Styela clava: one gene and its partner. Each later gene encodes a partner of the first gene's protein in a complex. Links are inferred from orthologs where the notes say so. Each region holds a gene or a part of one and is shown on either strand. Other genes may lie near its edges.

Region 1 (12,835 bases):
AGCTAGGTCCCGAAATACCAACTTAGACGGACTTCAATTTGAGTTGGGTTGCGCGAGACTAACATCCTATCTTTTCCCTATGCCTTTATGCTAGTGGATCCGTATGCGTATACTGCAAGGATACTGTAGCTGGAATAAACATGACTATTCTATTCAATTAAAGAGTCCAGCTGCACACTAACACAAATGTATTTCTGTAACGTTTCGTCCGACCAGAGTCAGACTTCCTCAGACAAGCAGTTTACAACAATGGCAAGAAAGAAAATTTGCTAAATCAATTTAGCAAATTTTCTTTCTTGCCATTGTTGTAAACTGCTTGTCTGAGGAAGTCTGACTCTGGTCGGACGAAACGTTACAGAAATACATTTGTGTTAGTGTGCAGCTGGACTCTTTAATTGAATAGATTAGACGGACTTCGTTGGTGTTTGACGATGGCACTAAGCTACTAATTAAATGATTAGAACGGTAAACTCTCGTTGTTTATTGAATTTAAAGTAAGTAAACTTGCGATATTTCCATCACTTTTGAGTTTTCTCCGACTTGCGGCTCGCGAGACCTCCTCAAAAGTTTTTGCAGTCCTTCAACCTAGCAACCTTGAACCACTCTGAGGTAGATTACTAGGAACCGGTAAAATTTCAAACTACAGTTGTGACTTGTATGCTTTGGTATTTCGATTCACGTTGAGACCGGAGGCATGGATCTTTATTGTCACACTCCCTCAGGATTAGAGCTCAACGGATATATCGGCCCGATATTGCGTGTTTGCCGATATATATATATATCATATCGGCAGTAAACGGCCGATATATATATATCTGCTAAATATGGAAAAAATCTAAAAATGTTCGCAAAAGTTGTTTTATTTACTGCTGGTTGTGATTTTTTTTAATCGTCAAATACACTTATTAAATTACACATAAAGGGACACCAAAGTCTTCAGTGCTTAGGGCACCAAATGTGCTTAATCCGCCCCTGGTCATGGGTGATAATAAAAAATTCTCATTGTTCCATTTTTTTGACATTCAGCTTTTATTTTTACTCTTCACCATCCTCCTATGCATCATTTTCATTCTACAATGCGTACGAGTTCGAAATGTATAAAACGGGATTTTTGTTTCGTATTCAAAGCATGTCTGCAATCCATTCATGGTCCATCGATCAATACTGGCTCAGGGAAATTTTAGCTACTGCGATTGTTGTGCCTGTATTTTTCACAATAGCTGTGTGTACTCTTTCTTTATGAGTAATCATAAGAGCCAGAACGTACCCAGCACAATTTTATTTTTGTATAATGACGTGATACGATGATGGCTTTTGGCTCACAATATCTTGAAGAATCTTTTAAGAGTCTTACTTCGCCGTCGAAGTTATTCAAGATATAGGCCTACAAGTGCGCAATTCTTGGTTTGTTCATTTGGTGAAAGGATTTTTGCCAGGAAGACTGAAAAAGTCAGTTTTTTAGTGAATCGCTCAAGAATAGAAAGTAAAATGATGTTGGAAAAGACATAAAAATTTATGACTCACTGTAAATGTCGCGAAATTGCATAAAAAAAATGTTGAAAATCAATTGGTGGGGTGGGCTGTGGCTACGCATAAGAGTCATCGTTTCTGTATGGAACGAGCGGACAAATTTTCTTCATAGGCTACTCCGTACGATTTCGCCTACATAATAGTTTCAAAAAAGTGTGTTGTACTTCGATTTTGCTAATGGAAAAAGTAGAATGGAAACTATTTTCTTTCTAATATGCCGATCGTTTGTGGCCGTAGGGCGTAGGCCTACTGTGTGTAAAACGTTTTCAAAACATCCATCGATTATTTTGATAGCGTGTTATATGAATCGTTGAATGACTTACGTCAAAAAAAAATCGCGATTTGACTAGGTCTTATTTTAAAGGGAGGGCTCATATTAAATCAGTTTTAAAATTCAGGCTAGGTCTTATTTTCAGGGTCGGTTTTATTTTCGAGGAAACATGGTAATAATATCTGACCAAAGTTCCAAATATTAGGCCCAGAATTCAAATTTCATTTTGTTCTTGTTTAAATCATTAGCATTCTATTTATAAAAGTTTAGTCTTTTTTTAATATTCGAACACAACTCAATGGTTCTCTCATACACACAGGAGTTGAACGTAAATTAACTGCTGTGTTTCCCCGAAAATAAGACCGGGTCTTAGTTACGATTTTCCTTTGAAAATACCATTAGGGATTATATTCGGGGGATGTCTTATACTTTCATTTTTCAAAAACAAAATTACAAAGTAGCAAATTACGAGATTTTCAAATATATAAATATGAAAACCGATACCAGTTTACTTATAAATAACACGTTTTCCTCTTTCATGCGTTTTAGATTAATCGTTTAAAACTTGTAAGAGACATTTCTTGCTATCGACTAGGTAAAAAAAAAATTGACTATGTCTTATTTTATGGGAAGGGCTTATATTAAAACCATTCATAAAATTCAGGCTAGGTCTTATTTTCTGGGTAGGTCTTATTTTTGGGAAAACACGGTAACATGGGAGTAAGGGAAGTATTTGTGTTGTTGTTGTTCAAAATATTTTTTCCCTCATTGATTTCAACTATAATTTTTTCTAAATATTCGTGGGACAAGTACCACGTGATTCGTGCTTATTATTAATATTATTTACAAAGCGTTGTATGTCAAAATCTCTACACACCCAAAATTTGGAAATATCATTCCTCCAAAAATGAAAAACTGAGGAACATATAGGCCGCGAGCCGAGGCCCTGAAAAACGCCTAGAAAGTGAGTTTCGTAGCGCACATCAGGTAACTACCTGAAAATGATTTTAAAATGTTCCTTAAAAATTTAGTAACAAATATTGCCTTGTTCCCACTTCCAAAAGTTGCACGTTTTACGGAAAAGACGCTTTTACTACAAGAAATATGTGCTACGATCTGTCCTATATTCTCTACATTTTCGGCACTGAACAATGACTTCTGCATGACGTAACAATTGAATTAAACCAGCTGTTAGCGAGCGGATGAATATTAGTTATTTCTGCTCGACCTTGCGCTGAGTTGGGCAGGCTTTCCACAGCCCTGTTTAGTTATTATTAGTTAAGTTATGCTAAGACGTTGTTGAAAAATGTATAAGTAAATTATTAAACACTTGTAGATCCTTACCACGGATATGGGCCGTGAGACGAAACCATGAAAACGCCCAGAAAATGAGTTTCGTAGCGCACATCTGGTAACTAAATAAATTCTTCAGTTTTGTGGGAAAACGAACATAATGAACGCATTACAGCTTGTTCCACAATCCTGGTGCGAAATTGAATATAAGAGGTTCCCGGAAATTCAATAACCATAAGTTTACAACGCATACATAAGAACTATACAATTCGAGAGCCCTACAGCACACTAACACAAATGTATTCCTGTAATGTTTTGCCTGACCAAAATCGGACTTCCTCAGTCAATCATAATTTATTAGGTAGATTACGAAAAATATGGCATACATGTAACCAACAACAAAAAATACTTTAATTGTGTGACAGGAGTCGGGAGTGACCTCGAAAGCAGCGACACCAACAACGCTGATTCACATTTGAGAATGAATTTTATGTAATAACCCCAAGCATTTTACAACAAGAACAGCATAAAAAGCTACATCCATTTTATAGAAGCTATCAAGTATCAAACGTATTTATTTTTAAGCAATGAAGTCACAAATTAACATCGTGAGCACGAAAACACAAATAAATCAGTTATTTCTCACTTAGAAATTTACCGCAAAAATCAAGAAAATTAAATGAATGTACAATATGTACATAACATAGTGAACAGAAATATTACAATTTACAATTAATCTTTTTTTAGTTTATGTGGTTATGTATTTGAACAAAGGCAATAATATTTCTAGAAACAGGACTACGACACTAACAAATGTCCGAAAAAAAAAACAAATGTATGATACTTATTAAATCAACTGTAATATCTAATTCACTTTCTTCTGAATTGTTTTCGAAATCCACTAGCTCAAAAATCGACTTTTCCTCTATAGGTGTACTGTGATTTCTGCAGTCAATACAAAAACAAAAATCTGTGCAATTTAAGTTGATTTTGGCACACTTTCATAAATTATTTTGACTATTTTTCTTTGCAGTTTGCCAACTCAAGAACTGATTTGAGGGCAACATGCTTCTTCAGTGAATCATTGTTGGGTGGAGAGTATAATCCTTATGTTTGACAGTGTTAAATAGACGTGCCCTGGTACCGTATCATTTACATTCTTCATATCCTCTTCAAATTCCTCAGCTTTATTTATTAATACCTCGTTAACCTCAAAAGATCTTCATAGTCGAGGGAAAAAAATGAATTGAAAATCTCAATGAAGTCTCCAACATGAATTTGATGGGCAGTTCCAATTGCAGAAAAGTGCTAAAGTATTTCAATATGAATAGCCCATCTAAGCTGTTTGCAACTATTATGATTCTCATATACCTTTAAGCTTCAAGACTTCTTGTTTAATCCATTTTATAGCACTGATAGCAGCAGGGATCAGAGCCTGCGTTAGGTCGGATTGGTGGAACATTGCCGTTTTCTTTTGTAGTACAGTATCTAAAATAAGGAAGAAAATAATATTTGGAGCAGCATGATTTTAAAAATACCCCTAAATACTAACTAATACCTTGAATACATAATGCATTTTATCTGATGTACTAAATGAGCGTATATATGCTCATTGCATGTTCTACAGTCCAGCAGTGTTTGCATACCATTACTAGACTATATCTACACTAAATTTTGATACCGGTATATCACAGTCTGAAATGTCCTATGACAGTATGAGTATGGACTATAGACTATATTTTGAAACATCAACTGTTTGTCTACAACTTCATTTCTCACCTCTCAATCATTTCCAATGCTACCTTTCTTTCCACTCCGGCATAACTTATCATTGCTTCCCAGGTTCTTGTCGACTCTATGAATTTAGATTTAGACCAACCGACATTAGTAAAATTGATTAATTTCTTCTCTTTCACACAACCGTGCATTACAGAAACAGCCATTCATTTCTATTTCCAAATATGCTGTGGCCTATATAGTAGTATAAGTCTGCTGAATAGTCAAGAAGAGTCATTAAATTAATCATAAACATTTCATGCAAGCCAGAAAATATCGTTGTTTGTGACATATTACAGTATTATTCTAGGTCTAGCCTTCCTTGGAGTTACCGCACCGTACCTATTTAACAACGTCTTATGAGCTAGTGCTCAACTAAAATTGCTATTTATGGCAAGGATATACAAGTGTTTAATATCTTACCTATACTTTTCAACACCTCCTTAGAATAACTGGACTAATATTACCGGTAACTGAAAAAAACTATGGAAAGGCTACTCAACTACTTGTGTAATAAAATGTTCCACTCAATTTTTCTATCTTATGAAGTTAATATGCTAAGTTATTAGCTCTTTTTCATCAACCTTTGACCTACCAACGATATCTCAATACTTTCCTATTGAGATCCCTGGCTAATCTATGATAAATTAATCCATTTACTACCAATTAGTGTAAAAATCTGGATAAATGGCCTTGATTTATGAATTGTTCTATTTCTATGTACAAACACTAATATTTGATGTTTATTTTTAAAGTGTTCTGAATCATTTCACATAGTGTTATGAAATATTGAATCTTATTTATTCCTACATTAAGTCAACTGTTTTGTTTTTGCATTAACTTTCTTGATATTTTAATATCGATTGTTTGTTTATACAAAGTTTACAATGTATTGCATTTTTAAAATGCATTTTTTTGTTGTTTAAACCAAATTCTAATTTGTTTTGATGACTCAACCCATGCATCTGATTACATTGCACTAGTGTGTGTAGAATAGAACTCTACCCATATTCGCTTGTTCAAAATCCCACTTGTTATGTTTAACTTAAATTCAGTCAATAAAACAAGTTACCCAAATAAGGGGTAGCTTGTCTGACCTGCTTTCCCACTTTTTTTCGTTTTGATCATTTTATATTTTGCAATATAATTTCAATTTGTGCAAAATCCTATTATTTAAAAGAATGCTTCCATAATTAAGAATAGTAAATTCATGTAAATATTGTACATAGTATAAATCGTGAGAGACATTGAAATATTGACACGAACCTGTTTTTTTTATGCTTATTTAATATAATTGGGTGGCAACTGACTCTGATGACCCCCAAAGGTCGTATCGTTGCCCCCCAGTCATATACCGAAAACTATTTTTTTTTATATTTGTTTATGTGTGCATAAATTGTTTTCTTGGTTTGACAAAATGAAATAAACTCTCTCTCTCTCAACGCAAAAGCGAGCAGTTGAGTACATCTGATATTCATCCGACCACTGGGGATCCACCTACAGCTGACTAACTTGACTGTTACGTCGTGCAGAAGTCTGCGTTCATTGGCCCATGATACCGGAAAAGCAGAGAAAATAGGACAGATGGTAACACATATTTATTGCAGTAAAAGCGTCTTTTCTGTAAAACGTGCAACTTTTGGAAGTGGGAACAAGGCAATATTTGTTACTAAATTTCTAAGGAACATTTTAAAATCATTTTCAGGTAGTTACCTGATGTGCGCTACGAAACTGAAAGATAAATGGCCTCGGCTCGCGGCCTAATACTGAAGTCGAAGAATCAACATAGATATTACCGAAAGTCTTTTTGGTTGTTTTTGTGATTCTAAGATGATTGAAAATATAGGCCGGCCTATTTGTAGTGTTTTTTTTCAGCCATTAACCTCCGTACTTTTCAACACTATTATGTAATAAAGAAAACAATAACTCATCAGTTGTGTCGTCATTAGGCGTAAAGTCAATTGTTACATCATAGGAGTAAAGTTTTGAATGACCTGATATTACCGTAGTCTAAATTTTTGGGTTGTCAATGTCGAATGCATTTTACGATTTTGTAAACAATATTTATAAGATGAAGAAATTCCTTTCAAGTTACCTCTCGCCATAAATATTGCAACGCAGAGTCGCCATCCAGCGTTGCAATCGTCCGACATTTTCTCCTTACGTTACGTACCTGCTGGGAAGAAAGAGAGATCGGCCTGGGCAGCGTCGGGATTGGCGTGGGGAAATTGGGTCTCGGGATAATTTAATTGACGTCTAAATAAAGGTGAGCACTAATTTACGTGTAGGTTTACGATATAGAAGTTTTAACGTTAGTCCACAATAGTAATGGTTTGTTAAACTTTGTCCCTCTTGTATTAAACCTGAAACAAAGTGCTGTGGTCAAGTGGGGATTACAAGATTAGGATTAACACGTGAAAAAATTGTTACCGTATGCTACGCCTACTACATGTACTAGAAGTACATCAGGTACCGTACGAAACTACATGAGACCCCTGTAGTCTGAGTGTCCATTTGCTGAGTTGTGTGTCTGACTCAACTGTATGAATTGTTAATGTTCTTGAAACATGTAAGATTCTGTAACATGGAATCTAAGTTCTGAAGGTACGGTACCGCTGTACCGGTACCGTACAGAGCTAAAATGTCAGAATGTTGGAGTTTGAAAGGGACTACAGGTTATGTCTGCATGTAGTTTCGTACCTACAGACCTAACACAGTAACATACTTCTAGTGGGCGTAGCATAACATTTTTTTCACATGTCAATCCTAACCCCCACCTTATTACGCCATCCAAAAATTACGTCACTACGACGTCACAGTGCAGCAGTGAGGTAATGGAGCCTTTCATACTATTGAACTATACCGGTACGAACTGCCATCCAAGATGCGCAGACGACCACCCGAAATCGAACTGCTGTTTCTCTCGTTTTCTCGACGCTATGATCCCAATAGGAGAGAGATCGATGAAGTTATTCAGTTCTTTATCGTCATCGCTGATGCCATTTCGGACGATCGGACGTATATTTGGCAAGTACTATGATGGGATTGTGATGTCGTAATGACATAATTTTTGGATGGCGTAGTCGAATGGGGGTTAGGATTGACATATCAAAAAATTGTTATGCTACGCCTATTAAAAGTACGTTAGGTACGAAACTACACGAGACCCATGGACCACTTCCAGACTTCACTGCCACTGCTGACCCTACCACTTGGCATAGTCTGGTATTGCTGTAGTGAGAATCATTGAAATTTTGAAATGTGGCCCATACAGGCCATAAATTGTTTGTGTTTTGTTTAAATTGAACTAGTTCAATCTTTTCACCACAATCTGACAATTCTCTGCAGATTTTTTTCAACTAATACAACATATGGAAATTTACAAGAACTAACAAGCAAGTTGCAGCAGAAGAATTTACCAGCAAACTAACATTACATTCAACATTTTTACATTTTGATTGTGTTGGCAATTTTTTAAGGTATGTCAAGTATGCTAAAAGCAGTCTATACATGTTATCCACATCCTGTGTCAATTTTTATTCATTCTACTCATAGCTTGCCCATCCTGAAAATTATCTTGCTCATTTGACTTAGATTCAATACCATGTTGAAGGATCATACACAGACAACTGCTGAAATTTTTATTATCTCAGGTGGTCTGGTTCCACTGTTGGCCTCAGCTTCTTCCTCAAATTTCTAGATATAAACCAGTGAAATTATCGAAGGATACTACAAATCATTGCTTCACTAACTTAATATTAGACATCCACTTAAATATTTTGTTGGTAAATCACAAAGTTTTGACATTCAGCAGCAATCTAGCATGGCACACCTATTTATAAAAATTGCCTATGAGCTAAAAAAGACAATATGAATAGGGTTCTGCTTGACTAACCAGAATTCCTGACCATGCAATGTTTTCTTTACAGTTTCATCCTCAATTTTGAAATCTGAGCATCTGTCTGCGAACGCTCCTATTTCTTTGTGTAGTGTCAATACATTCTGTTTTCGCTCTTGAAAAATATGTTGTGTCAGTGTTATCTTTTATTGGTGTACTGCACATAAGTGTACTAAACAATACGGATTGATTAGTAATCTAGTTTTGTTTACCATATAACATTGCCTTATACAACCCAGCATATAAAAGGCTTTGTTAGCATTACCATTATAACATACCAGTTTGTATACGCTGTCATAATGTTTCTTTCTTCAAACTCATTGGATTCACTAATGGATGAAAGATCATCTTTTGTGGTGAACTAACTGTTGGTACTTTTTGTAACGAGATATTTATAACATCCATATTATGTACCATAAGTACGTATGTGGATTAGATTGTCATGATCTAATAGCATGTATGGATGGATAGTTCTTGAAACAATGATAAAATTTTATGCGATAGGAGTTCATAGAGCCGAATATGCTATAAAATCTTTTAGTCATGTCATGTTCAAATTAGAAATATAGACATTATACAGTGATGATCTAGATTATCAATCAACTATTTAATATTTTTCAAGGGCGCAGCCAGGACCTTTCCGACGGAGGGATTATGGTGAAACTAAAACATTTCACCAAAAGTACAATTCACGACGACGTAATGCGTTTAATAAACTAAAATATATGGTCATTCACGGATCACGGCGAAATTCCACACCACAGTTACGTATAGCCCCCCTCTCTTTGCCTGGCGGTGTTTGGTGAATATTTTGCAGTCCTGTTTCAAACATTGGCCATTAATCCGTAGTCAGTGGGTACCCACATTTAGAAATAAAACATTTGAAATTGCGAAAATTAATTTTAGAGAGAGCTATAACTTGCAGATGTCAGTAGTATCATAATGGTTTATATGTACAAAAAAACTCTCGTATGTAGCGCTGATCAAATGCACGAAATGTGAAACTGTTACATGGAATTTATAGTTACCGGTAATTGAGTTGATTTTCTGTTGCCATTCAATGATTATTTAATTGCGCCGTGATTAGTGGCGGGTGATCTTATTTTTTGAATTGAGTTATTCGATTGTTTTTAACGAACATCGAATAATGAGTATTGTCATTTTGAACAACATTAAATGAAATGTCGGCCGCCGAAACGATCGTCGTGAAAATAAATATATTGTTTTTTTTGGGATTTTACCAGAAGACTGAAAACTCCGTGACAATGAGGCATGTTTATCTCATAATTTTGTCATAATCGTCGGCAAAATTAGTTTCATGTCTGTTTCATGGAGCGAAAGGAAAATACGCCTTCCGGAATTGCAATCAACAATTACAAATTCTTCTTTATCATTATCAGCGCCGAATAAAAAGATAACTTATCGTGAAGACAAAAAAAGTACGGCGGTGTTAATTGCGTTACAGTGATAACGCACAGAATAGTATTGTCTTGACCGCGAAACCCTGATGCAGGATCGTAAAGCGACGCTTTTGTTTTTTTGTAGATGAAATTTCATATCAAAAATTTTTCTCAAACGGGGGGTTACGACTCATCTGAACCCATGTTGTGTTTAAATATAAATACATAGAATAGAATGATGTCTATATGTTGAAATATAGTCTTTAAGATATCTATAAATGAGATCGCTGTATAACTCTCGCTGCTTCAACGAAATTTTTGCATTGGTACAATGAGCATTAGTTTTTATGCTGATAATGTACCAAATAATAATAATAAACTTTGACATTGAGAATATGAAAAACAATAAGTAGCAACACACATACTTCATACTCCATACTTCTAAACATTACACTCTAAATTTGGCTGGATCATAGTGTTCTGACATTCTAAATTATGTTATTGTGATAAATATATCTGCAAAGTTTAATTTTCCCTGAATGCTGTCAAAGATAATATTTGTTCAGAATTTTTATTACATTTTCATGTAAAGTCATCTTTAAAAAATATTTATTTTAACAATAATAATCTTGTTGCAGTCTTTTTGTTTTGAACTTTTTTAATACAGATTTGATTTGCTGTCACTCATCATAATGAGGATTATATATCTAAAATTATGTTTCTTCAAAACTCAATTATCTGATAATTTTGTTAAAAATATGAACATTGAAAATTATTTTGAAATGAATTATTTTTACAGACATTTCCAAAGCCTCCAATGATGTGGATGAACACGAACCAACCCTCACCCATCACACCACTCGGAAGATGGCCAGATGGACAATTTCCCAATAATCAATCAGTCCGATCAAATTTTGGAAGTTCAGGTTTCACTTATTTGAATTGCATTTACCAAAGTTACATAAGATAAAGTTATTCTGTGCTTTGATAATCATGATTCTTACATAAAATATGAACTTAGTGACATTCTATAAATCAAACAAACTCTGTACTGGTAGTCAAACCTGTACAAGCGTAGCCAGTAACATACTGTAGGTTACTTTTGCCGTTCACTGATAATATTGAAAGACAGCGTCAAAGACGGTGGATTCCAAACTCCAAACAAAATTTCAATTTTTCTTAAATTAGAAATTTGAACCTCAGGTGTCGCTGCTCGATAACCAGCTTTGGTTCCCCGCGATTTCCCTTCTCCAGTAAAAATGTGTAGTGTACTTATCATTTTCTCGTAATTTGTGCTCGATTGTTGTTGATTTTACTGGTTGAGAAAAAATTGACTTGACTTGAAACCAATGTCTCTGTATCGATACGATAGCTGTGACAAACTGAAAAACTTGGATCATTCTGTTTTGTAGCTTTGTATTTCAAACTGAATTTTTCTTGTTGGGAAGAAATCATAGGAAGTCTCAATGATACAAATGAATGAACAATTAAACCATTCACAAATCTATTTTAGCCGGAAGTATTGCTCTAACTACACAGCAGAAGGCTTTGATCACAGGAGGAATCAATAGCAGAAATGAAATAAAAGAAAAACAACTTCAGGTTTTTTATAATAACCAAGTTTTATACTTATTTGACATAGAAAGCTTTATCAGCAAATGCCTACAGGTTTATTCGAGATTCAATAATTGCTATGAATAATTTATTTTGGGTTAATCAGTGTTACCCCTGTGAATTTATGTAGGAGGAAAAAACGATTTCCTGTTTTGAGGTAGGGTTCAATTACTAATGAAATAACTAAAAATTTGGTCTCTGGTTAATTTTGTTGCATTTTTCACAACTCAAATTCTTCATCATCGTCATACTCAAATCCAAGGCGGATCAAAAGTTTACGCAGAAGGAAGAAAATTTATTGGCAAATCTGCGTCTTGTGGCAGACTTGAATCTTTATTAAATATATCATTAAATTATTAATGGTATTATAATATGACTAATTTATATATGGCATATTGATTGTGGGCCAAATGCTCTCAGTATCACAAGATATTTTGGCAAGTATTATTATATGAAATTTTGGTGAAAACTGAAAACGAGTCCATTCTTCAAAGGTTATTTCGGTAGATCATTTTTTTCCAAGTCAATCATGACCAATTTCCTGAAAAATTATACATTGTTTAGCTTTTTAACTTCTTGCAATCTATGCAAACGTTCAACATATTGTTGACTATGGAGCAAATTTTTTGAGCTGTAGAACCTACAAGACTTGCAATAAAACCTATCCATGTAAAAAAAATGAACGCATAAAAGAAAAAAGGGATATTTTAACACAATAATGGGACCTCCTGAAGTATGCGCACCAAGATGGCGCAAAACCTGAACTCAGGTTAAGTACCAGGTTAGGGTTCAGGTTAGGTTTCATTGTTGACTATACTATGAAAATATTGTGTACTTTGAAATATTTTACGATATACAGAGAAATTGCATTTGATAGGTAATTTTATGTTGGTTTATAACAATGCAAATATTTACAAAATGGGTTTAATTTATAGTCAAAACTATATATGTACATATTTTTGTGCTTTGATTTTCATAAGCGGTTTACATATCATTTTCTTCGTTTTCATTGTTTGGTATGAAAACTATTTGTTAAAAAATCATTCCATTGAT
Region 2 (12,364 bases), on another chromosome or scaffold:
TGTTTACTTATAACAGGCCCAACTAAAGTTATTAAAATTTGAAAGTCTTCGACTGACATGCGGAGGTAGGTCTCAAAATAGCTTCTCCTCTCCAATCTCATCTCTTTCAAAAGCCTGTGGTACTCGCCTGTTAACGTTACAATATTCAGATATTACCCGTTAAGGTACCGGTAATCATTCAATATGATATATATTTTCAAACCTCTCAAATACTACTTTTTGCACTAAAATGAGCTGTAGACTATCAGTAGAGGGTACCGTAATACTACAGTACTATGATAAGCACTGTCCAGACTGTCAGAACACCTTTCAGCTTTTTAACTACTGAACTAGATCAAATACCTGAATACTGGAATATGGCACCGGTCTAAAGGGCTAGTATGGTATGTTAACTGTTAAATCTAGAACCATGTAAGTAGCAAATTCTGTTTATTACAAACGGCTAGAAATACGGTGCAGTCGTATACGTACCGTACCGGTACCCAGGTACGGTACCGTACCGGTACTGGGGTACGGTAGGCCTACCTACTGCTGTACTGTGAAAATACTGCAATACTGGTACCGTACCTCTAGTCTCTCTTCTCTGCAAAATAGGATGCACCCACCACCTTCTTCTTTTGCATCTATTTTTTTTATCCTTGCGTCTTTTCAGCCACAACAGTAATCCCAATTTTTGATGTTTGCTCAAAGCCATCGCCAAACCACAGAACAAAGCACCGGAACTCAACTCAAATCTCAGACAACGCAGCGCGTCAACGCAAAGGAATGTTTCCTCGAGAATTCGTTGCGTTGACGCAGTGCGCCAAAATGATGCGTTAACGCAACAACGCAAGTTTACTTAAACAATTAAAGAATAACGCACTGGTGTGAACAGATGTGAATGGGCCCTTATTGAGTGAATCGAGGCGATTAAAAACTAATGCCCATAACTAAATGACGGTTTCCGTTACATTCTGCAAGACCCTTGGGGATTTACAGCATGGAATCAATAAACCGCTATAATATTCTCATCCCTATCGATTACTGGAGTCAAACGAGGTGTGGATGGCATTGTACATGCAAATACTCAAAAGCATGATGGTATTGATAGACAATTTTATATCCGAACTAAGCAAGCATGTTTTGAAAGCTTAGCACGAAACCCCAACCGCCACAACATGTTGCAATCAAACGTTAGCTTGATTAAACATTTTCCATTTGTGTAATTCTTACCTCTGCGACTATTTTTGCTATAAGATGAAACTCTCCGTTAATGTGCGATGAAAAAAGTTGAGAATCACAGCTCTAGGCGACTCTTGAGCAGTTTCATTCAATTCAACACCGACGCAAATATTCTCCGATGTATTATTTAAAACCATAGTCCAAGTCCATGCTTCCGAAAAAAACAAACAATACAGTAAAAAACTAATCCCATACCCGACTTGGAATGGTAACCGGACGAGAGGCCGTGGTTCGCCATATGGATAAGCCGTCTTATCGGCTTTCCTATCCCCGGGATAATTATGTAAATCCTATCCTATCCCTATGTTGTGTATTGTAGGTTATGGTTTTTATTCTACGTGTTTACAAAACGAAAAAAAAATAGAATATTTGAAGAAAGAAGAATTTAAAAAAAAAATAGAGTTTGGGTTATCAGAGTCATCTCCTGTCAATAAACCCACTGAATCCTGAACATTACTGAGAGTAGGTCTTCTTCCATGTTTGGAACGCAGCATGTAAAACGACTAAGCACTCACTGAACAGCTTCAGTAGGCTACAGAGCCAAGCAAACCTTCACAAAGCCAAAATATTTCAGTAGTATAAAATATCACATTTACTGGGAGTATGTATGGTCAAGCGTCTTTTCTTCAAAAACCAAACAACTTTTCGTGACAAGCAAATCTATTGTCAAACGTTTTGTTAATCGGCGATGAATAGTTACCATACGAAATTTGATTTTTAATATTGTTTCGCATAAAGCATTTATATCAGCGAGATCAATACAAGGAGCCATTTTGACCGCGCGTATCTTTAATACTTGGTTTCTCAAGATGACGCTAATACATGTATCATGATTGTAGCGTCAACAAACTACTTGACCCGAAAACGGTGACGATTAAGTTCTCGGAAATTTTATCAGTCAATAAGTATTTTGCAATAACTCATGCCCTACGGCTAGCAACATTAGATGATCCGAAAGTCTTATAATTGTCGGTTTCGAGTCTTCAAATGGCCGAAACAATCGATGGTAATTTTGTAAAACAAGATAAGGGCGCAACCAGTGTAAAACATCGCAAACGCAACTAAATTGGAAACTTGGTGAAATTTGCTGGTAGTTCCAAGTTACTACAATCTGAAGTCCCAACATAATTAAATGACACAATTAGATGCATGCTATTATCATTTTAATGAAATGTTACTAGACCAAAAAAAAGACACCACTGTGCAGTAATTTCAAATACCATATATATGAGCAAACAGTAAACCAATGATTTACAACAACATTGATGTATATTCTTGGCAAATGAGTGCTTTCAAGAAATCGTGGAAGTCAGCTATGAATAAACTACCTAAAAGACGTAGTCACTGAACAGTATTGTCGTTTCATTAACACCCTACTGTGTTAGTAGTTATAGTTGCATTAAATTATTCATAATTGACATCCAAATCTTAATTAATAGCCCACAAGAATAAAACGATAAAATTTGCACTTAGTGATCACCAGCTTACAAGCATGGATGTTTATTTACACAGAGTGGAGTGGCCGAAAAAGAAACAGTTTACTTTTCGTACTAAATTCGATCATTTTTCAATTTTTTTCTTGGTTTTTTAATTATTCTGGGTAAATTCAAACACACTCAATCCCCTGGTATTATTTGACAATCCTTTCATATACCAATCTGGGAGAAAGAGGGCTAAAACAACTTAAAAAAATTAGAGCAGTCCCTGAAAAGGACACACAGAACAAACAAGGTCATCAAAATCTCATCCAGAGATCTATTAATGTGTTTTGAGGGATGGTAAGAACTACTACTATTATCTTTGAGGTCAGTTTGGCAAACATGGAAAAAACAAGTCAGAGTTCCGAAAATTCAAGTTAAATGGTTGAAAACTGTCAAAAGTTGGTTTTTGAAATTTGTAATATTCTTGATATTTTTTTTATTTTATTTTTCAGTATTTTTTCACCTGGATTTAAGTCGTAAAACCAGGGGCTCAGTAATTTTTTTTTTTATTAGGATAATTTTTTGTGGGGCAAAAGTAGGATGATTTTTAAAAACGAAACAGTTCACACATAACACCGACGATTATTATCTTTCGAATTTGTTACTCTTGACCACCTACAGGAACCGGATTCTGAGCAGCGTTGTTAACCTGGTTGATTTGTTGTACACCGGTAATGCCTTGATTTTGAACAGGCTGAGAAGCAGGTTGTGCTTGTCGACTTGCTGCCTGCATCTTTGCTTGATGTGCCTGGAGAACAGCCACGGCCTCTTCCATCTTTGCTTTGAGAGAGTCTCTAGATTCCAACATGTGAAGCAATTCAGAATTGTCAATTTCCAACAACATTCCAGTAATCTTTGAAGCGAGAGTCGGGTGTTGTGCTTCGATGAGTGGGTAAAGACGTTCACCCAACATCTGCTTTTGCTCATGGGGTGGAGCAGATGCCAACATGCTTGCTGTAAGCGGCTCTTGACCTTGAACATGCACAGCAGGCTGTACTGTTTCAACTTGCTGTTGGACTTGGGCTTGTTGGTTGACACCACCAGCCATCGAAGCAGGGTTGCGGACACTTTGATTGTATTTGAAAGGTTGTCGATTTTGTTGCATGTATATTGGCTGTTGGCGGCTCTGTAGCATATCAATGCGATGTTGTTGTTGTTGCTGAAGACCATTCCTGGCTGAAACTGGGGCAGTCATTGGGCGAATAGCGGGCCCTCCACCATGTGGTGCACGAATGCTTCCAGGAATTTGGAATCCTGGCTGAGCAGTGGCAGCTTGCCATCTTGGTGTTGCCCTAATAAGCTGGTGACCCTGCATGTAGCGACTCTGACCATGAATTGGCATGAAGTATCCAGGAGCACCTGATTGGAATGACTGTCCTATCATTTGGTTTGGAGGAGCAACTCTCATTCCCATTGAATTGGAAACTCTCTGCATGTATTGAGCAGCCAAATGAGCTTTTCGGTCTTCTTTTCTTTGAGCTAAAGCTACGTAGAGTGGCTTACTCCCAACAATACGACCATTCATTTCTGTTACTGCTTTAGTTGCTTCATCTGGTGCACTGAAACAAACAAATCCAAATCCTTTAGAACGTTCGCCATCAGTCATAACTTTTGCACTAGTTATGGTTCCGAAGGATGCAAACGCTTCACGCAAACTATCATCTCTGATGGAATCATCAAGATTTTTTACATACAGGTTGACTCCTTGGTATCGCTGAATTTGCTCTTGCTTTTGTCTTTCATACCTCTGTCGAATTTCAGACATCCGTTCAGATTTTTTCTGGGCGCGACCTACGTAGATCTCTTGTCCACCAATTTCTTTTCCGTTCGTTTCAGCAACAGCCTTTGCAGCGTCATCGTGGTTTTCGAAAGCAACAAATCCGAATCCAAGGGATTTTCCTTCAGGATCTTGCATCACAGCAACACTCCGTAGAGGACCAAACTGTGAAAACATTTCCCTCATCTTTTCGTCATTTAGAGCATCGGCAAAATTTTTGATGTAGATATTAGTGAAATTTTTTTGTCTCTCGCCAATCAACTTGTGTCTTTCTGATCGTGAAATGAATTTTCCAACAAATACTTTCTTGTCATTCAGTAACATTCCATCTACTTTCTCTATCGCACGCTGTGCAGCTTCCTCGGTTTCGAAATGCACAAAACCATATCCTTTGGATCCATTCATGTCACACGAAACTTTGCATGACAAAATATTGCCAAACGCAGAGAAAGTATCATACAGAGCTTTATTGTCAATAGACTTGTCCAAATTTTTGATGAAAATGTTGCCAACACCAGATTTTCTCAGTCCTGGATCACGTTGACTCCACATGATGCGAATGGGTTGACCTTTGATGGGATCAAAGTTCATGGTGTCCAAAGCTCGTTCTGCATCAGCCGGCTGCTGAAAATTGACGTATGCGTAGCCAAGCGAACGTCTGGTGACCATGTCCCGACAGACGCGAATGGACAGCACTGGGCCAGCTTGAGAGAATTTCTCATAAAGCATAGCCTCCGTCGCGTCAGGATGAAGGTCACCAACATAAAGTGAAGCCATTGGGTAGCTGGTAGGTCCTGCGTTATTCATTTTCCTCTTTTTTGTCGATCGTCACAGATCTGATTTTAATTTTTTATATTTTTTTAGTGTTTTTGACACTTTTTTAAATTTTTTTGTAGGGTTTTTAGGATTTTTAACAAACAAATTGTGACCGGGAACCCAGTACACAATAGTTTCTGAAAAAATAAAATGCATGAAATATTCAATGAGTGTTCTTAACGAAGGGAATATGACCATAGATGAAAATATGTTTTTGCAGTATGCCAATTTCCAATGCAGAACATCATACCGCCTCATAACATTAGAAACAACTTCCACAACTATTTAGGACGTGAACATCCGTATTATGTCTGTAATTTATATTTCTGTGAATCCTCCCTCTCCTACAAGTATTCCCCTGGACATGTGGCAGACGGCGTCGGATAAATAGTATTTTTCTCATTCGGAACTGTACGTAAAGCGTGATAAACTCGTCATTATGCGATAATCTGACACAAGACACTAAGTACAACCTAAGGATTGAATCCGCAAATTCAATTCTCAACTGAACACAAGTGAATATTAAGTAAAAAAAGCGATGTGATAATATATATATATATACATAATATAGCGGGTAACAAATCGCAAAAATTTCGTGATTTTCGATCAGAAATGTGAAATTTTGCTAACGGCGATATCTTAAATATAGCGAAGATAAATTACGGAGATCGCAAAAATTAGAATCAATTCTAATTATAATGAAATGTACTGTTTATGTACGCAGATTGTAGTAATTCAGAGCAGTAATACTAATATTTTATCGAAGTCGGCACAACGTCGAGTTTCGTTGAATATGATTAAATTAATAAGGCAAAACACTTTTAATGCTTTCGGCCACGGACTGAATATTTGCGCAACAGAAAAAATCATTATCGCTGAAAAAAAACAATTATAACGAATGACGAAATCGCGCGACTGTTTCAATCAGGATTTCCTTTCCTGGTTTTGAATACAAAATAAAATTTAAGGAAAACATAGTTTGGTGCAAGTTATCTGGCATTTTGAACAAAGTAGAACTGCTGATTCTTTTTTTTTCAACATCTTATTTGGTAGAAAAGGTGTCATCAAATTTAGTACCGTAAAAGTGTCTAACTTCGGCCAAAATTATCATATTTTTGTCAATAATTCAACCATTCATTGTCAAAAAAATTGCTCGGTAAAGCATTCGTGAGGTAATTTACATTCTCTGCAAATTTCGGGTAAATTGGACTATTTTTACTCTTGAAATAATCTATTTTTCTTGCCATCTGAGCGTTATTCTTCACTGCCTAACTTCGGACAGTCATTTTCCTCACTGCGTAACCGCGACGCACAAAGAGAAAAAAAAAAGGCTCCTGATGCGGGTGACGTAGTCACGTCTCAACAGGCTTGTATTGTAAGTCTTTGAAATATTAATATTCTCAACGAATAGCTTTGTTGATGTTACGCTGTTATCTTTATTAGTGATAAATTTATATCACACACGTCGAACCCAATTGTAAAGTTTAATCTTCAACTTCATCTTGTTAACTTTGAGATATGTCTCTGGATTTATGTTAAAAATTAAATCAATTTTTCACTTTGAGTGAAGAAAATTTACCCAGGCTGTATTCAATCACTGCCATTTTGATTTCAATTCAACGAATAATTGTGAAATTAGTATACAGTGCAATATGGACGTTGGAATTTTTCTAGTTTTTCTGTTTTTATAAGTTATCCGATTTTGGACGCCGTCGATTAACATATTCTCATTAATGTGATTTTGGCATATATTCACACATGGATCGAACAAAATACAAAAATATTACATTGGAAAGCCGTCTTTGTCTAAACGAAAAATGTCAATTTGGCGCCATTATGTCAGTCGTCAAAATTCATTTCCGCAACTCAGTGTGATGTCGTCTCGGAATTGAGCGAATCAACTTTTGACGAAAAAATTATTATGTAACATTAAAAAAATTGAGAATAGATGTACATATAACAGCACCACCTATAATAATTATATAGGTTAGACATATAAAGTTAGACACTTTTACGGTAACTGATTAAAATGTACCGGTATTCAAATATTAATAAACTTTGTTGAAATTCATCCATCTTATTAAAAACATCATTCGCCATGATCAGTCTACTTCAGTATTGTTTAATTGATTTGCAATAGATTGAGAGATTAGTTTGTAACTTGATGTTTTGTTAAAATGTTGGGGAACCAGTTTCTATACCACGAAACGCCGTGACCATACGTCTTATCGTTTTGATGCAGCCATAATTCTGAAAAACATTGATCCTGTGTCATTTAGTTTCTGAACCCAGGAACCCATGGACTGACCTAGTCAAACAAACATAATTCAGTACCGTACCTTCAGACTATAGCTATAACAGTATAATCTATACTGCAATAAATTCAAGTTAGTCAAACATATCATTGGTTTTACGCTTTAGCCAAGCAACGGTACCGGTACCAGTACTTCAGTATTTTCCAACTTAGCTTGAATTCTGAAATTTTCATAATTATGGAAATACGGTAACGTTACCGGTACCTGAATACTGGAATGGACCAATCCCTAAAATCAATACGTTTTTATACGCCGTCGTAAGGGTATAACATACTGGAATAACCGTTTAGGCCTAATGCTCTGAGCTGAGCTAATTCCGACAGGAAATAAAGCATCACAATCTGTAACTGTTTTTTTTTTTTCAATTTTCGTAACGGTACCGTATTATTACGCTGGCTACCAGGTTATAACAGATTGTCGAAAACAGCTAAAGCAACGCATTTAAATGGTACCGTTATATCCTCTACCTCGAACATCCTGTATTTGAATTTTATAAAGCTCATAACAAAATTGCTTTCTGTAACACGGATTAACCTGGATAAAAAGAACGAAACGCAACAGATTGCGCCACACACCAGCTTTCTCTGTTTGCGTTTGTCACGTTTTTGGACGTCACTTCCTGTCGCCCATAAGTTTCTATTTGATGATATAGCTCTATTGCGCTCCTTGTGTTGGAAATAGAGAGAGACAGAGAGAGTTTATTTCATTTTGTCAAACCAAGAAAACAATTTATGCACACATAAACGAATATCAAAAAAATAGTTTTCGATATATGACTGGGGGGCAACGATACGACCTTTGGGGGTCATCAGGACAGAGCTTTGCAATTTGCATGTAACAAACTGGGTTACAAATATGCGCTTCAGAATGCTATTTATATATAAGCTTCAGAATGCTATTTATTCATCTTTCCGTATATCCAAAATCAAAATGCACATACATTCACATAAATGAAAGAGATAGAGAGTGAGATTTATTGCCACAAAAACAAAATGAAATAAATATAATGTTATCTTGCATTTATGGATGGGCGGACATGATGAGCATATGGGCGGACCAGACCAAACAATTACCAACTTTCATGACCTTTGACCGATGCTGCCAGCAACATATTTCGAGGGAACGCTCGTCTAACCACGCCATTACAAACTTCACGGGGTTGCTATATACCTGCTCCGAAAAGCTTTCTGTGTGTAAATGTTGCTTCAACAGTCTTTTTAATAATATAAATTTAATACTGACCAACTTTTGTTAAGTTGCATGTACAGTACCATCGTCTATTTGTCGGTTGAGTTGAGTACCGATACGGTATCGAACCTGGTAGTGGTGCACCCGTACCAGTACTGCAGTACCGTCAGAGGACCGGATATCGTGTTAAACTAGCCCACCGTGTACCTTAAAACACTAAAATATTACGAAAAACCTACTTTAGTGCAGCATTTCGCGGATCATTTACCGCCCAACCACATGCAAATACAAAGCAAAATCGCAGCGTTCCCCCCAAACAGTGGTTCTGGCAGCAGTCGTCACGCTCTGTTGAGCAGTATAAAAGTCGGTAATTCTTAGACTTCAGATGAGTTTCTGATGTGGAACAAGTAAGCTATGCTCAAATATATGAACACGTCACAAAGTACCGCTATTTTATTATTCTGACACATAAAAAACAAATCTCTAGTTAACAGAAATTTTTGAAATAAATAAAAGTAATAGCCTTCTGGTGAAAAAATCAATCTTTAACCAATGAAAATTCCAAAGCAATTGGTTCAGTAATCAAAGAGAAAAGCGTTTTTTGTAATCGTTAAAATTCTTAAAAAGAGTGCCAGCATAAAATGCAAAACGATCGTCATGTCCACTGACGTGTCAACAACAGCGTTTTTTTAGTTGACTAGTGAATTTTCATGACGAATTCAAAAAAATTGCTGAAATCAGATAAATTTGGTCTGTAAAGTCGCACAGTTTGGTGGAGTCATGTACACTAGGATAGGATTTACATATTTATCCCATGGGAGAGGAAAGCCGATAAGACGGCTTATCCATATGGCGAACCACGGCCTCTCGTCCGGTTACCATTCCAAGTCGGGTATGGGATTAGTTATATTGTTTGTTTTCGGAAGCATGGACTTGGTGGTGGAGGAAGCCGTAACCGACCAGCGGTTACGTGAACCACCCAACGACGGCGAGGAGTCCAGCAATCCTCTCGCACATAACCATCCCTGCATGGGATTCGAACCTGCGAACCCACGCAGAGTAAATAAAGGTGCGGTGGCGAGCGTATTCCTATCGTTTCGACCCGCACAGTTTGCTGAAGCTTTCATTGTTCTGCATTCAAAAGTCATTGCCCGATTTTATTACGTTCTTTAACTGTTTTTGGTGGACGGGCGCGTACCTGTACGTCTTTTAACTTTGTTTTTAAGTTATGCCTGTCCTCGGCATTTTTATCGTCCGTTGTTTATTGTATTTTTCTTTTGTTGCATAGATACCAAAATAAAATTGATTAATGGAAGCATAAATATGTTCCGACTCGTTACGGGCATCTCCACTGCCACTTTTGAAGATTTTTTACAAAATAGTTAAGACAAGAAGAAATTTTCCATTGCATAGGCCTATGTATATGTCAAAATGTTGCTACAAACTGAGCCCGATTTTGTATTTTACTTTAGTTGAAAATTTAAATAGACCTTCCTCTTACTGTCTATATGCTTCGCCTTGACTTAGGACAAAGCATACAGTATATAAAATATCGGAGAAATTCCGATTAACGAATTTATTACGCTAGTATATAGAATATTTGATAATGTGGCTCGGTCCAAAGCCTTTAGCCTGTTATTTTTCTGGAAGCATAGACCTTGATTTTATGAAAAACTGTAGCCAATGTAAACAATCCTGCAAAGTCAAAGCTTCCAGCAATACTTTCGCACCGCATTTACCCACACGTAATTCCAATGTTCGTGGCGAGAAAGCTTCCTTCTCAGCAGACAGATTTGTATTGAATCATATGATGAAAATATCTGCTTCATTATTATATTAAAGTCCTACACAATGGCAACTACCGAAAGTCTGTTGCCGCAAAGTAGAATAATCCCCAAAATATTATATACTGTATATTTCAACAAGAATCGTTTATTGCAAAACACCATTGTCGCAGAAGTTTTATTCTGTATACTGGCAATTACTGATATATATATATATCTTATATTTCTACGTGCTACTATTTGTAGTTGAACCGCTAAATATATCGCAAAACTGCTATTTTATACTTAAAATTTAAAGACAATCTTAAAATACACACGTGTAGAAGAAAAACAAAAATAGGAAAAAAGAAAACGGAGATTAAAAGGCAATTAAAACAAAAAGTTGTGTCATAACACACCAATATTATATGTGTGAGTCTAAACATTCATAAAACGCTCTGAAGTATATTGGAAAATAAAAACGACCCACACAATTTTCATTCCTACATTTTATTATTCTGGGCTGTTATTTGATTCTATGGAAGAGGGACGGGCGACATTGGATGACTTCCCCGACAATATTACCCGTAGTGAATACAGTCCAAAAAAGAAAAAATGGCCGATAATGCATCCTAACGTACATGCAGCAACTCCTATACCAGCAGCTAAGCCGGGATTATTCGCCCAATCGAGAATCGAATAAACAGCTGATGTGACCCCAGCGAAATGGAAAATTAACGTTGCTGAGACGTAGGCGACAGCAAAAGTAAATGGATACACTACGTGGAAAAGTCGCATTGGAAACGCTACTACAAATAATCAATTACACTTAATACTACGTTTATGCCATGGGTATGGTAACTAAATGTAATAGGAGGATTACTTGAAATGCGGTCCAATACAAAACGGTGACGATATTAAAAGTTTGCGTCGCTGAATGAAAGACCCACATAAAATCCCGTAGAGCTTTCGTTGATCATGTAGAAACAAACGCAGTCATATCAAATATCTGATTTGTTAAGATTTATTGTTTACAGTAGCAATAATCTCAACAGGTTTATTTGCCCAATGAAAAAATAGATCCGGAATGAATTTAATAAAAGGTTAAAACTGAAGTTCCAGTAGCACTGATGTGTAACTCAAATGCAACAATGGTTTAAACCAGCAATGGCTAACCTGCGGTTCGCGAGCCGCACGCGGCCCTTGCTCCGGTTCCATGCGGCTCTTTTCGTCTTGGTTATTTTAAGAAAAAATAACTTGCAAACTACGATCCATCATGTTTCGATTGAATATATTATGATTCATCGTGAATTCTTTTTTTAAGCAGAAGACACACGAGCGCCTTCATTCGCTTACTATGCAATTGTCCAGTATTACGTCACAATTACATACCTTGTTGTGCAACGACTGCACTACAACGACTGTCGAAAACGAAGTTCGGCGGAAACGCGCAATTCACTATTTGAGTACGCCGTCGACGGATCCATTTAATTCTGTGACGGATTGTTTGATACTCCATCTAGTCTCAGGTGAGGCTGCAACCGAGTTGATGATGATATTAATTTATTAGAAAGACCAAATGAAATGCGATTAAAGGGAAAGAATCTATTGAGTTATGGAAAAGCATAACAATGGAAAAATACCCCAATACCAAACGAGCAGCGTATAGGATATTGTCAATGTTTGGGTCAGCATACGCCTGTGAATCTGTGTTTTACGCTCTAAAACACGTGAAATTAAAGCTTTGATCAGTTTTGACTGACACCCATGTAAAAGAACTGTTTCGATTGGTTACAACGAGAT

Evidence for each region.
Region 2: the proteins of cold shock domain-containing protein E1-like (region 1) and polyadenylate-binding protein 4-like are in contact, whole or in part, in a crystal structure (PDB 7ZHR), measured with the Drosophila melanogaster proteins. The link is inferred for Styela clava from reciprocal best matches to the Drosophila melanogaster genes Unr and pAbp. Residues at the interface, in NP_648226.2 of Drosophila melanogaster: Leu843, Glu844, Thr845, Thr846, His847, Asn848, Gly849, Val850, Glu870, Ile871, Leu872, Asp873, Glu874, Thr878, Val879, Ile880, Ser881, His883, Leu902, Ile907, Asp908; in NP_476667.1 of Drosophila melanogaster: Asn184, Tyr186, Lys188, Ser211, Lys213, Met215, Phe225, Phe227, Ala229, Tyr255, Ala257, Arg258, Ala259, Gln260, Lys261.

The regions. Positions count from the first base shown.
Region 1 is NC_135255.1:1,852,148-1,864,982, forward strand, and holds the start of cold shock domain-containing protein E1-like, read left to right. Parts: upstream 1-6,882; 5' UTR 6,883-7,136; intron 7,137-8,218; 5' UTR 8,219-8,349; intron 8,350-10,967; 5' UTR 10,968-10,985; coding exon 10,986-11,094; intron 11,095-11,681; coding exon 11,682-11,770; intron 11,771-12,835. UniProt on the Drosophila melanogaster protein: RNA-binding protein that acts as a regulator of dosage compensation in both males and females.
Region 2 is NC_135251.1:14,960,487-14,972,850, forward strand, and holds polyadenylate-binding protein 4-like, read right to left. Parts: upstream 5,451-12,364; 5' UTR 5,287-5,450; coding exon 3,304-5,286; 3' UTR 2,368-3,303; downstream 1-2,367.